Linked DNA regions of Diceros bicornis minor. The protein of the gene in region 1 interacts with the protein of each later gene in a pairwise test. Links are inferred from orthologs where the notes say so. Each region holds a gene or a part of one and is shown on either strand. Other genes may lie near its edges.

The links.
Region 2: the proteins of CHD3 (region 1) and HABP4 interact in a two-hybrid assay, tested with the Homo sapiens proteins (3 studies listed by BioGRID and IntAct). The link is inferred for Diceros bicornis minor from reciprocal best matches to the Homo sapiens genes CHD3 and HABP4.

The regions. Positions count from the first base shown.
Region 1 is NC_080757.1:10,508,178-10,515,295, forward strand, and holds the start of CHD3 (chromodomain-helicase-DNA-binding protein 3), read right to left. Parts: upstream 3,018-7,118; 5' UTR 2,994-3,017; coding exon 2,723-2,993; intron 2,644-2,722; exon of another isoform or gene 2,582-2,643; intron 1-2,581.
Region 2 is NC_080761.1:3,916,085-3,923,552, forward strand, and holds the start of HABP4 (intracellular hyaluronan-binding protein 4), read right to left. Parts: upstream 3,007-7,468; 5' UTR 2,925-3,006; coding exon 2,564-2,924; intron 1-2,563. UniProt on the Homo sapiens protein: Ribosome-binding protein that promotes ribosome hibernation, a process during which ribosomes are stabilized in an inactive state and preserved from proteasomal degradation.

The DNA.
Region 1 (7,118 bases):
CCAGCCACTCAATGCTGGCCTGGAGCCCAGACTCTCCCACAGCCCTGGCTCAGATCTCGGGAAGACTGCGAGGGAGGAGGGCGGGCGAGGAGCGGGAGGGCGGGGCCTGGCAAGCCGGAGAAAGCAGGAGGAGCCTCGCAGAAAGCCTCGCCTCCCGCCCGCCCCTCTCTCCTTCTAATCTCACCATCAATCTCTCACACATATATTTATTTTTTCTCAAATTCCCCTCCCTCCCCCACAACGAACCACCATAATAGGTCTGCTGCACATGCGTATTGCACGCAGGGGGTGGGTTTGTATTTTCAGACCTTTTGCAAAGAAACTACCAGAATTTTCCGCACCACCCACAATCATTCCCCACCCCCACCCCCAAGGAATCACATCTATATATTATGTTATATTATTTCTCTAGACTTGCCAGAAGGGGGAGGGAGAAGAAATGAGTTTTTGGCTTCCTGCTCCCTTCCCCCATCAACACGAGTGCTATTATTTTAAACGTTTAACAATGTAAGGAGACTGGAGAGGGGGGAAGGGATAAAATTGGTCTTGGGTAAGAATGTAAAACAAAATGGTGAAAATCAAAGCAGTCAGAATGAAAAACAATAGAAACCCCTAATACGTACAAATTCATATTCTAGAGAAAAGAGGGAGGGCAGCCGGAATAAATTTCCTTTAGGAGGGTTATTTTGCTCACACTTAGGTAGACAAAAATAATGAGCAGACTAAAAATATTTTCCCAAAGTTTTACCTCAGAAAGTCATCTGAGGGGGTGTATCTGGGTCACTCATTTGACTCGGAGGGCTGAAAGGGAGATAAATTGCCCTGGGAGAGAGAGGAGGTGGTTTTTCATTTCAAATATAAAAATTTAAAAACATTGACGTTTCTTCTCGTCTACTCAGAAGGCAGAGTTGGGAAAGGGAAGGGAGGATTGACACAAAGACCCATCTCGACCTCAGATTCTTTCATGCTCCTCTTTCTCCCACATACCCAAATCCGGGATCAAAAACACCCAAACACCACATTCCAAGTTCGGAATACAAATAGATGAGAGCCGCCAAACCCCTAACCTAACCTGACATCCTTTCTTTCCCTCTTTTTAGCACCCCTGCTGTTTTCCAGGCAACCCCCTCCCCACAATTCTTTATTCCTTTTCCCTCGTGCAAATCAGTGGGCTCTCTGGGATAACTTTCTAAAAACTTTTCCCTTTTTCAGAAAAGATTGGTGGGGGGCGGGGGGCTTTATTCTGTTTCCATCAGACATACATCCTTCTGCCCCTCATAAGGAAACATGCCACATTCCCTCAAAGGTTGTCTCAACTAGACAGGATCATTTGCCACATAAGCCACACAGATCAATATAACAGTTTTACAAAGAGCATGATGTTAGATGTTTTGAAGTTTGGTGCATTTGTGCAGCACAGCACCCAGAGGCCTGAGGTGCGGATGTACCCTTTCATTCCCCAAGCATGGGGTGTGAACACTCTAAAGATGTTCACCTATTGTAAAGAAAACTAGAAATAACTCCACTAGGAGGGTGGTCTGAGTGAGGCCATTGCTGGGCCCCCCATGCAAGGCAGCGGTCTGTCCCCTCCGCCACTGGTGGAACTGCCCAGAATGCCGGGTGACTTATCCCGGGGAGGGGTGCTGAGTGATGGTCAAACTGCAGAACAGCTGGGTGGGAAGTTCACGACCCCCAAAGTGGTCAGGGTGTGGGTGGTTTGAGCGAGAGAGTGAGTGACAGTGAATGGCAGCCACGTGAGAGTCACAGCTGGGCAGCTCGGCCACCCCAGACTGACGGGGTCATGGAGGGAGGGGGGGCGCACTTGACACAAAGGAGCCCAGAGCAGAGGAGAGATAAAGGGGGTGGAGTTGGGGGCATCTGGTTTCCCAGACACTGTCCTCTCGCTCCCCAATCTTAAGTGACTGCTCTGCCTATTACGAACTGGGGGGAAAGGGGGTAGGATCAAGTCACATTCCAGGAAGTGGTCTGCGTGGAGTGTGGCCACCACCTGCCCCTAGTCGTCAGCCGCCCACAAACATTCACACGACCCCTCCCCCATGTGCCACCGCACGCCCCAGAGTTGGCGGGCACCAAAGTCCCCGCAGGTGGGGGGCTCCGCTGGACACCCACTCCCTCCCCCCGCCTTCCCAACTCCAGAGGGGAAGGAGTTAGGGCCGCGGTCGGCCCCACACGTCGAAACCCCACTTTACCTCAATCCAACCCCACCGGGGCCGAAGCCCGAAGGGCGCCCGCACGGCCGCCCCTCCCCCACGCGCCCCTCCCCCACGCCGCCGTCCGGCCGCCAGGGTCTCCGCGGTCCCTCGCTCGGCCAGGGAGGGGGCCCTGGCTTCGCCTCGGCCGTTTCCTGCCTACCCCCTCCCCGCCGAGGGTAAAAAAAAATCTCCTCCTCCTCTTCCCCCGAAAGCCGCGACCGAGTGGCCCGGTCCGCGCGCGCAGCTCGCGCCCAGCGCTCTCCAGCCGGGGCGGCGGCGGGCGGCGGCGGCGGCGGGGGAGGGGTGCGGCGGGGGAGGGGAGGAGGCCTGGCCCCGCGGCCGCCGCCGCCGCCGCCGCCCGCCCGGACCGCTCGGACCGCCGGGCCCGAGACGGCGCCCGCGCCCGGATTCGCTTCGGCTCGGCCGCGCGGTGGGTGCCTCGCCCCCGCCCGGCCCCGCGCGCCCGCGGCTCCCACTCGGGCTGGGGGGGAGTCGGAGCTGCCGCTTACCTGGCGGCGGGGGTGGCGGCGGCGGGGGCAGCAGTGGCGGCGGCGGCGGCGGCGGCGGGAAGAGGTGGCAGCCGGGGGGGCTGTGGCGGTCGCGGCCCCGGTCGTGGCCCGGCCCGCGCCCGAGTACTCCTTCGTCGTCGTCCTCATAGTCCTCGTCGGGCGCCTCCACCTCCTCCTCCTCCTCGTCGCCCTCTTCTTCCTCCTCTTCTTCCTCCTCCGACACCACCATCTCCTCCTCCTCCTCCTCCTCGTCCCTCAGAGGGGAAGCCATCCTGTGGCTCTGGCCCCCCCACCACCCCCCCACCCACCGCCCGCCCGCCTCCCCCACCGCTACCACCACCACCACCTCCTCCTCCTCCTCCTCCTCCTCCTCCTCTTCGGCGGCGGCGTCCTCCTCCTCCTCACCGCCTCCCCCAGCCCCCCAAACCCCCGGGCCACCCCCCTCCAAAACCCCCACCCCCGGGGCCGCCGTCTGAGGAGGGGGGCCAAACCACCCCCAGAAATTTTCTTGGAAAAAATTGAGGAGAGACTTTTTTTTTCCCCCTCTCTCCTTCCTCCCAAGAGAACAAGAAAGGGGGATTAAAAAAAATATATATATATATGTATATAAAAGTTTTCGACTTCTCTCTACCTCCCTGTCTGTTGCTTTAAATATATTTAAATTCTGAGGGGGGCGCTCAGAAATATTTCTCAGAGCTGAGGCACTAAGATGGCCGCCTTGAAATTATTTTTAAAACAACCCCCCCCCCCAGCACCGCCACCCCCTCCATGAAAAAAGGGAGAGGGGGGGAAAATCCCCTTTTAAAACAAAATGGCTGGCTTAATATTTCATTTTTCACCCCCCCATTCTCCTCCCTGTTACACCCCCATCTCCAAGCCTCTACCCAGAAACCCACAAATTTCTCCCTTTTTTCATAACTGATTAGTGCACAGATTAATAGAGATATTTTCCTTGTGTACTGAGTGTGTGTGTGTGTGTCTATGCGCGTTGGGGGGGGCATGAAGGACTTCTGCATAAAACAAAAATGGCTGCTGTGACTAACTCCCCCCTTATAAAAAAATATTTGAGGGGGGGCATTAATCAGTACTCATGCTCAGTCTGACATCAGCATAAATTGTTAAAGGTTAACTAGTTAGATACTAGTCCAACTAGATTTAAATTTTTTTCTTTTCTTTACTAGTCTTCCTCCCCACCTCCCTTCTCTTAAAGAAAAGCTTTTTTTTTTTTTTCTGAATACTTCAGAAGGGAGTGGTTTGATGTGAAGGTTTTTTTTTCCCCTTCAGGCATTGAAAAGGAGAAAGATGAAATATATGTTTATGTATAACTCTGTTTCTACATACCTCATTGAAGTCAAAACGCATTTAATTGTATATGTATCTTTTAAGTGAGAAGCAGTACTGGATTTTTTTTTCTTTCTTTAAAAAAGTAATAGAAATCCTAGTGACTTTTGGGGGAGAGATATGAATAGATAGGATGATTGAGTTTTTTTCAAAGGAGTCCATGTTTGATTCTCCCCTTTGCCCAGCCTTTTCAGTGATTTATAATTGTTGTAAATTTTATCTTCACTCTTTTCTCCTTTACCTCTCCCTTCCCTCCCCCAGTTGCTTGAATATAAAATTCATCTGATTTGGGGAATTAATTTAGGGGTAAATAGAACAGATTTTTAGAATAAAGGGGAAAGAGTCAAGTCTGAAGATTGTGAAATTATTTTCTCTTTTCTCCCGTTTCAGTATATTTCCCTTCCTCCATGGTCTCCAACACTGATAAAGTAGAAGAAACTGAGGTACCGTCAAAGAGAAAAGTAACTGGGACTGAGAAAAAGAAAGAGGTAGGGGGTTACACTCGCATTTTCATCTAACTTTCTGACCCATGATTTCCCACTGTACTCCAGTGTTATCTTAAAAGTGGTACCAGGAGTCAGATGGATTGAAAAGGAGTCCGAAAGTAGCTTTCTCACCCAGAGATGTGAGCAGAGAAGTCATAAAATAAAACTTGCCAGTTGAGCAATGCTAGCAAAGGAAAGAGGGCAAATAGCTCAGTTCTACCCTTTTTCATTCTTGTCACCCTTTTCTTACTCCAGTTTCCTCCCATTCTTTTGATTTCATGTTGCCCCTTTCCTTGCTTCCTATCCCATGCCTGTGGAATCATTTCTCTCCTGGGTTATTTCTCTACCGCTTAAGTAGAGCTGTCAGCCACCCAGCAGCCCCTGCAGTGTTCAGAGCACCTTAAGAGGTAGGGATAGGTAGGCAGCAACCAGAAAGTATTAGTGACAAAGAATACTATGCAAATTTTTGCTTAGGAGGCTAAAATGTTCTTTATTGATGTGCCACCCCCCCCTACATAGACTAATACACTTTATTGAGCATTGATTTCCATCTTTTTCTTAACCTGGCATTTGGAATTCGCTTGCCTCTGTTCTCATATCATTCCTGTATTGAGTCTAACTCCTGTCCCTCTTCCATTCAATTTTGTTCTGTTCTCTTTCTCAGTCTCTCTTTACTATCCCCCTTTCTGCATATGGGCTTCTCTGTATGTGTGTGTTTATTTTTTCACAGAGACTTTCTTATCCCTTTGACTCTCAGGCTCTGTCACCTCTAAGTGACTTTTCATCTTTGTCTTCTTTCTGCTTACGTCTGTCTTCCAGGCCCTGACTGTATGTGCCTCTTCCTCATGTGTGCCTGACTCCCCCTCTTTCTGGCCCCTCTGTGTGTGTCTGGGAAGAGTGTCCCCACATGTGTGTGGGCAACCCTGCACATCATGTGTGCCGCAGTCTCTGCCTCTGTGCCCTCTCCCTCTGTGCTGAGCGCCTCTGCCTGCCTGCCGCATGTGCCATGAGCTGCAGGTGTGAGTGGCTAAAGGTGGCTGTGTGCATCCCTATACAAACATTCGTCATTCTCTTGAGTGTGCTTTGCATGTAAATCTGTTAATTTGCCTGATTCTCCCTCTTGTCCATCTCCCACTCTGCCTGCATCTCCTCTTCTCTTTTTCTCCTTGCTGACCTCTTGATTTTTCTTCTTTCCTCGTTTCTACCTGCCTCTCTACCTGCTTGCTCCTGTTACGCTGTCTGTCTGCCTGCCTGCCTGCCTGCCTGTCTGCTTCTCCCTGACTGGCTGGCAGCCTCTTTCTCTCTCTGGTTGTCTGTCTGCTTCTCTGGCTGTTTGCCCACTGCTCGCTCTCTAGCCATCTGTCTCCCCGCCTGCCTGTCTCTATCACTTTTTTAGCCTTGGTCTGTCTACCTGCCAGGCCCTGCCATGGTTCCCTATCTTGGTTTGCCTCTTATCTTGCCCTTCTACTTCTTCCTCCTCTTATTTATGCCTGTAAAGTTCATGATTTTTCCTTGCCTCCCTTTATGATTGTCTTCTTGCCTGTCTACCCTACTTGCTTGCTGCTATCTCACTGTTTAATGCTTGTATCTTTTTAGTCTGTCTGCTTATCAGCTTTTCCTCCCTTAGCTTCCTCTATACCAACATCCTGTCACTGGTGACGGTCTCTCTACCCCAAACCTCTCAGTGACCCCCTTGCCCCAAACTCTTATCTGCCTTCTTCCCATATCCCCTACCCTGCCTTCCCTCACTGCTTGCCTCCATTTCATTTGTCTCTTCTTTTTGTCTTGCTGGTTCCTTAGACAGTCTGCCTGCCTCAGTCTTTTTGCCATTTTTCCAGTCTCTCATTGTCTTCCTGCCTTTTTGTTGGCTAGCTGGCTGGCTCTTGCTGTCAACATCTCTGCTTGATTTTCTTTTTTCTTCTTTTTTTTTTCAGTCAACTTTTAAATAGTACATACACATTGTACAAAATTTTTAAAGTACTAAAAGTATCCTGTGAAGAGTAAGCCTCCCTCCCATCCCTCTCCCCCAGTCCCCTAGTTCCTCTCCTCAGAGGCAGTCACTACTTCATAGTTCTTGGATATTGTTCCAGAGAAGAATATACACATATAAAAGTCTACTTGCTTTTTGCTACACTTCTTCCTGCTTCTCTCCCAGTTTTGCTGGATGCTTCTTCCTCTTGTCAGTCTGTCATTACTCCTTCCTACTTTGCTGGGCTTGCCACCTCTTGCCTCCTGTCTTTTTGATTCTACTTTATGGCACTTATCTTTTTGATTGACTGGTTGCTGGTTGCATGCTTTTACTGTCAGCACCTGAGGAGCATTTAGGAAGGGCTTGCTCTCTCCTAATCTCCTATTTTACTTTGCATAATAAGTTGTTTTGACAGCACACCTTTGCTGGTCTCTTTGTCACTGAACTATGTATTAATTGAGAAAAGACATGAAAGCACTGGTAGTACTGAAAAATACCACATAAATATAGGTACAGTTAATAAGTACAGAGAGTTTGTAAGCTGAGCTTACATGCGCAGAGAGTAGGTGGAGGCCCGCTCTGCTTTTCCATAGTCTATATG
Region 2 (7,468 bases), on another chromosome or scaffold:
ATTTATATTAAAGCTTCTTCCAAAGTTTCTGTGTATAACTTGAAAACCATTAAATATGATTGGCTACTTATTAGAATAATTATCAATACCCTGCAAACACTTCATTCTCCTAAAACCAAAAAGACAAAGATAACAGGGGTCCGGTTTTTTCCCACAATTGAGCACTAAGAGATCAAGACTGCAGCCGAACCTAGTTTTTCTGTGCTGGATCAGCAGCTCCAAGAGGAGAGGGCAAAAACTGAATTTCACCGGCCCTTTCCAATAAAGGCTGGCACAAGCAGTCTGATCACTGACCTAAACCCAAACCCATATGAAGAGACAGAATACAGTAAAATACACAGTGACAGTTCCTACAAAATAAAGTTGAGCTTTGACCAAGGACAACAGTCCTGAAAGGCTAGAGACAGCAAAGCTGAAGAGTCCCTGAGGACTTCAGGAGGAATTTATGGAGCAAAGCTCACCCGAGGGTCTACGTACACTGTCAAATAGTTAAGGACATTAAAAAAATCTCCATTTCCACGGGAAAATCTTATGATTTCCACATCCTTTTGAGATTAATAAATGTTTCTATTATATGTGAAACATGTTTTGCCTTTGATTCTTATCTGCACTAAGCATTCACTTATAATATTCTAACTAAATTAAAAATTTTGAGTGTTAGAAAAGCACAGTCCAATACAATTAGGGCAACAAACCTCGAGAGAGTAGCTCTCTAACACCCATTACAGATAAATTTAGTACAATAACTACATAAATGGAAATTATGAGCTGTTTGCTTCTGAAAGAACACACTTGAAAAAGAACCAGAATGACAAGATTTCCATTTTAACTACAAAATTAACTAAAGATCTTTAATACAGATCTCAAAAGCCAGACCACCTGGATCACAAACAATTGACTGAAAAAAAGTTTTAAACTAGACTACAACGCTAAGTGAAAGAAGCAGGTTGCAACTCAGTTTGTATCATTTTAGGAAAAAATAGCTTTGTGCATTTATGTATATAAATGCAAGGTGTTAACAGTAGGAAAAATACGGGATTTTCACTTTCATACGTTTCTCAATTATTTAAAATCTTATAACAAAAATGCATGACATTTTAAATTTTCAAAAGGTTAAAAAGTGATATATTAGCACCAAATGCAGTTTCACACTATTCTAAAGGATAAAATATTTACTTGCATTTGTTAAAAAAATAAAGGGAGAGAAAAAGCTTAGCTTTCTTCAATTCTTTCATTATTGTGATATTTATCTAAATAGATTTATGAGAAAAAATGGAATACAAAAAATGTACATTATATCTCAAGTTTCTATCACTGTTTAAATAGGCTCATAAACTTACTGGCCTACCAAGAGGTCTTCAGATATCCAAAAGCATTTTAAATAATTTTCAACATCTTTATTACAGTGACTTGACTTGCTGATTCTCAAGCAATATTGCTGCACTGACCTTTCCACAGATAAAAGTCAACGTTACCTAGGTGTAGGAGTCAAAGCCCAACACTTAACTCAGGAGTTGTTCTCTCACGGCTGGGATGCACAGTTTCTATCAAGCAAAGAGCAAGCCAGTAAAGACGAGCTGACTACACCGCCGAACATTGGCTGAAGCAGTCGAACTATATAGTCAAACCTTAGGACCACTGCCTAATTTTAGGAAAAAGGGAAACACGGGTGGAGTCTTGCTGACTATGCCACTGTTGCAGTTCAGGTGAGAAACGACTCGCACACCCTCCCTCCCCAGATAGACAGTAGTACACCAAGCTTCGCACTGGAGCTTCTGGCTAAGCAGGGAGGGGGAACTTAGAATATGCCTGTCGGAAAGGTTAAAACGTTTTTCTTAAAGCAGCCTGAGTCACCGACAACTCACACATCCCATCAACACTACGTGCAGTGATGCAACACGATGCCGGCTGACTGCTGGAAGCCGTAAGGGGCCGGGTGCAGGCACGGCTCGGAAGGCGCCAGCACCCGCGTCCACCCGCCGCATTCCGCTCACGGCCCTGACGTCACAGGCCCCCCGCGGTCACCAGGCCTTCCCTCCATCACAGAGGCTCGACCCTCGGCCCCGGGCCGCAAACCCCTGCTCTCGCCGCACCCAGGGGCCGGAGGCGCTCCCCCCCACCACGGTTCTCCTACCTCCCAACCCGAATCTTGCAGAGCTTGGGCTGCAGGAGGAGAAAGTCCCTGCTGGCTCTAGATTTGAGAGCCCTGGGATAGCGACCTCACTTTTAGCCCCCACACGGCACCCCAGCAATATCCCTCAACTTTGCCCAACTTGGAAAGGCTCAGTTTCGGGGCTCTGAGACCCCCAGCCCAAGCCTGCACTCCCCCAACCCCCAGAAGGGACCGTGAGAGGCCAGAATGGGCGTGCCACCCCCCCATCCCCGTCTCTTTTCTCAGCCACAAGGACCCTCAACTCAACCAACTGCTCCCCGAGCCCCCTCCGCTCTCTGCAGCAGGTTCCAGCGATCCCAGTCTCCCAGTGGGGTCGTGGGCGGCTGAGGGTGACCTCTGTGACCCCGTTCTCCGTCCTCTCCTGCCCACCGTGCACCCCCGGGGGCGTACCGGGCGGCTGCGGGCCGGCCCCGGTGCTGTCGGGCTGCTGCGCGCCGGGGGCCGGGAGGCTCTTGCGCTCCTTCTGGGACTCCCTGCGGCCGCCGCCCGCGCCGGCTCTGTGGCCCGAGGCCCCGGCCGGGCTCCTGCCGCCGCGGTTGCCGGCCCCGGCCGCCGCCGCCGCCGCCTCGTCGCGCCTCTTGCGCTGCAGCTGCTGCTGGCGCCGGCGCTCGGCCTCGCGTAGGATGTCGAACGGGTCCGACTCGTCGTCTAGCAGCTGGTGGAAGCGGTTGGCCACGACGCAGCCGAAACTCTCCTGCATCGCAGCGCCTGCGGCGGCCGCAGCCACGGGGCTCCCTAGAGCGCCTTTCATGCCGCCGCGACCACTGCGGGCCCGCCGGAGCAGCCCACGCGAGCGAGTCTCAGCGAAGCCGGCGGCGACGACCCATCCCGCCCGCTGCGGCCGCCCTCCCTGCCCTGCCTGGTCAGGTCCCTCCCAGGGCCCGCCCCCGCGCCGCCGCCACCGCCCGCCCAGCCGCCGCCAGATAGCCAATCAGCGCGCGCGGACACGCCCCCTTTCCTAGCCGGCACAACTGGAAGCCCAATCAGCGGCCGGCTGCTGTCACGTCGCGCGACCCCTATGCCCCTCCCCCGTCTCAGCAGGGAGGGGCGGGGCCCACGGGGCGGAGCTACTGGGAGGAGCAACGAGTCTTGTGGTCCAGGCAGCTCCGAGGTGCATGGGTCACGGCCATTATTTGTGTTCTCTTTAGGACTGGCTCCGCATTCGTTATCGGCCACTCCGCTTTTAAGTACATATATTCGTTTAGCTATTCAACAACTGTGTATTGAACATTTACTATGTGCCAGGCGTTACGTTGTAGAAGATAATAGCTCCGTGTTTTTATGGATCTTAAGTCTGTAGACAGAAAAGTGCCCTGAAGGAAAGGCATAGACCTCTCTTCCAGCCTGTAGCAAAGGGACCCGACCTAATTAGCAAGCTTGGAAAGGTTTTCCCTAGGAAGTGACGGTTAGGCTGAGATCTGAAGGAAGGCGAGCGCAGGAGCAAGGGCAAGTGCAGAAGTTTCAGGTGGGATGGAGCGCAACCCATTCAAGCTCAAAGAAAACCAGTGAACTGTATTGCAAAGAGTTGGGAGAGGGCCTTGATTGGTCATTGTTCTAGGAGCAGTGGGAAACAACTTTTAGGCATGAGCATGTGTTTGAAAAGGCCACATAGCTGCTATGTGAAGGACTAGGTTGGAGGGAGGTCAAAGGGAGCGCAGCGAGACCGGACCGAAGACTTGCAGAGCTCCAGGGAAGAGCTGATGATGGTGCCTTGGACTAGGCTGGTGCAGTGGAGGTGAAGAGAGTGGTAGCTTCAAGAGCTATTTTAGAGGTTATATCAACAGGACTTGGTGATGCACTAGATATGGGTGATGAGGAAGAAGAAAGGTGTGATGACTCCTGTTTTTCTGACTCGTGCAGCTGGGATGGTGGTGCTATTCACAAAGAAACAGCACTAAAAGAGACCATTTTGATGAGAATCATGAGTTCAGTCTTGGACATGTTGAGGTTTGGGTTTTGTTTTGTTTTGTTTTTTTTCTTTTGAGATATTCAATTGACGCCTGGAGCTCAGAGAACACTGAACTGGACTTCCTCCGGGATATCTTGCCTAGACCTTGGCTGCCTATCCTGCAGCCCTTTCTTTCCCTCTTACATTTTCCCGGAACCTGTATTTTGTTAGGGCATCAGGTGGCTGTATGCCCCAAGGGAACCTGGGCCCACTTCCAGCCTCAAACTTGATTAATCTTAAATCATGCATTGTAATTCCATTCCGTTGCCAATGATGAGTGTAGGAATAGGCTTGTGGTGCAAATCTGGCAGAACAGACCTGATGGGAAGTATTCTGGGGGATTTCTAGGAACATTTTTCTTATACCTAAAAAGGGATTGGGAAGGGATCTGCCATCTTCCCACTTCTCGTCTTTGGTCTTTGTTATGTATGGAGGCCATGACGCCTAGAGCTGCTGTCCCTGATTGTGACTATGAGGATGGCGGAGCGGAAGGATGGAGAAGCCTCGTTCCTCGTTCCCCGATGTTGCTGAGCTGCTGACATCCCACTCAGGAACTTCCCTACCTCAGACTTATTGTTACGTAAGACAATAGATGCCACCATTGTCTAAGCTACTCTTAGTTGTGCTTGCTTCTTGCTTCTAAAAGCATCCTGTTAGAGCGTCTTGCTCAGGTCTGTCATTACCAGCTTTTACTTTCTTTTAATAGCAAATGGAAAAGGAACCCTTAATCCTAACTGCTGCCAGGTCTGTGTTTTACTCACTTGTTCAATTTTCTGTCATTCCCAAGGAGGACAGGGAGGAGGCCTGTCTTATTCATTGCAATTTATGTTCCCAGTGCTTAGCGTTCTAGGTAGCTGTACAGTAAGTTCTCACTAAGTATTTGTTGAATTACTGAACACTTTAAGATATTTGGTCATCTCCTTCTTGGAGTCAGCAGAGGTTTATGATAAAAAGCCTATATTTTATACCCAAAAGAATTGAGAGCAGGTGTTCAAACAAAAACTTGTACTTGAATGTTCATAGCAGCACTACTCACTATAACCAAAAGGTGGAAACAACCCAAATGTACATCAACTGATGAATGGATAGCAAATTGGTACAATGGATTAATATTTGGCTACAAAAAGGAATGAAATGATACATGCTGCAACCTTAAAAACATTATGCTAAGAGAAAGAAGGCATTCATATGATTCCATTCATTTGAAATATCCAGAATAGGCAAATCCATAGAGACAGAAAGCAGAATAGTGGTTGCCAAGGGTTCTGGGTGAAGGGAATGATGAGTGACTGCTTAATGGGCATAAAGTTGCCTTTTGGGGTAATGAAAATTTTCTGGAACTAGATAGTGGTGATGGTTGCACAAAATGTGAATATACTAAATACCACTGAATTGTACACTTTAAAATGGTTAAAATAGTAAATGTGTATTTTACCATAATTTTTTTAAAAAGCATATATTTTGGAATTAGACCATGATTTGAATCCTGGCTCTGCGAGTAATTAACTTTATGACCTTGGACATGTTCCTTATTTCTGTCTGTCAGTTTTCTCATCTGTAAAATGGAGAAAATAATGGTATGTACTTCAGAGGGCTGTTGTAAGGACTGGGTCAGATATTGCATATGAACTGTTCAGCACCAAGCCTGGCACAGAGTAAATCCTCAGTAAAAGTCATTATCAACATTATTAGTATCAACACCATCATTTTGAATCAGGCTTAAGACTAGGTAGAGTCATAACAAGGTCTCATAATTATGAGGTGAATGAAATTTCCAGAGATTCTTCACACACCAGAATCACCCCATGCACCAGATACCATACCTTGAGAAGCCCTGCTTCAAGCCAGAGTTGTCTCTGGCATCTTTAAGCTGCCGTCACTAAGCCACAACACAAAGACCATTACCACTTGAGAGAAGGGCCTGTCATGTTCCTCCTGGACATCTGGAGATAGCCTGCTCCCCCATTTTCCTCCAGTTTCCTTTCCAACATAGCCAGCCACAGCAAGTTCTTAAGGCATGCGCTGCAGGCACTCCCTCCTGATATCCAAATCATAACTGCCTAAAACAGTTGTAAAGCAACCAACTCTAGTTGCTTCAAGATTAAGAACACCTTTAGAACTGTTGAAATAGAGATGAGTAGGGCCGGCCCCGTGGCTTAGCGGTTAAGTGCGTGCACTCCGCTACTGGCGGCCCAGGCCCGGATCCCAGGCTCACACTGACGCACCGCTTCTCCGGCCATGCTGAGGCCACGTCCCACATACAGCAACTAGAAGGATGTGCAACTATGACATACAATTACCTACTGGGGCTTTGGGGGGAAAAAAAGGAGGAGGATTGGCAGTAGATGTTAGCTCAGGGCCGGTCTTCCTCAACAAAAAGAGGAGGATTAGCATGGATGTTAGCTCAGGGCTGATCTTCCTCACAAAAAAAAAAAAAAAGAAATAGAGATGAGTAGCTTCTAACTGATATTAGCTGGCTGTGTGTTTTTTATGGGGCTATTGTTTACTGTAGAATTTACTGATGGTAACTTATGAAGCAGCCTCACATTTTTCCATGACCATTTTTCTGCTGGGAGATTGCATCCCTAAATGCATTCCTAAAATACACTCCACCACATTAGCATGAGTTATTTGCGACATTGCGCTTAATGTGGTCAGTGTAATAGACTGATCTTTCTAATAATTCAAGACATAAAAACTATCTTTAGTAATTATAATACCAAACAGACAAAAACCCCACACACGCATGTCCATACAGCTTAGAAAATAAAGCATGCCAAAAAAAAAGCAGTGAGGTGTGGATGCCCTTCTGTAGCAGTTATTTATTGGCGCCAGTGGAAATGCAGTGAAATTTAACTACATACAAAAGGTAAATTACCTTGACTTACTAAATATCTGAATTCCATTAGGAATAATAAAATAAAATACACTAAAATCTTCCAGATTGACTTGAAATTCACAGAAAGATCGGTCAAGAATTTAAAAGCATGCAGCTTGATTACTTTTAATTACATGCAGGGAGTAGCACCTGGGTGAGGGCCAGTGGAGAGGGGCCCGTCTGGCTGTAAAGGGTGTGAACTTTTGTGAATCACTAGAGAGCTGCGTTCCACGTGCTCTGTTTTGCCACTGGATTACTGCTACCTCTTCGCTTATCTTTTCTCTATAAAATTAGGATGATTATAATCGGCCCTGTGTTCCTCATATGGTTGATGGGAAAATAAACCAAAGAAGTAAGTTGGGAAAGGTAAAAAAAAAAGTGCATTATTTTACAATTGTTTCTACTTGCATTTTTCTTAAAAGAATATCCTCTTTTTTGCCAGTTGAGCCAATTGTGATAAGATCAGTGA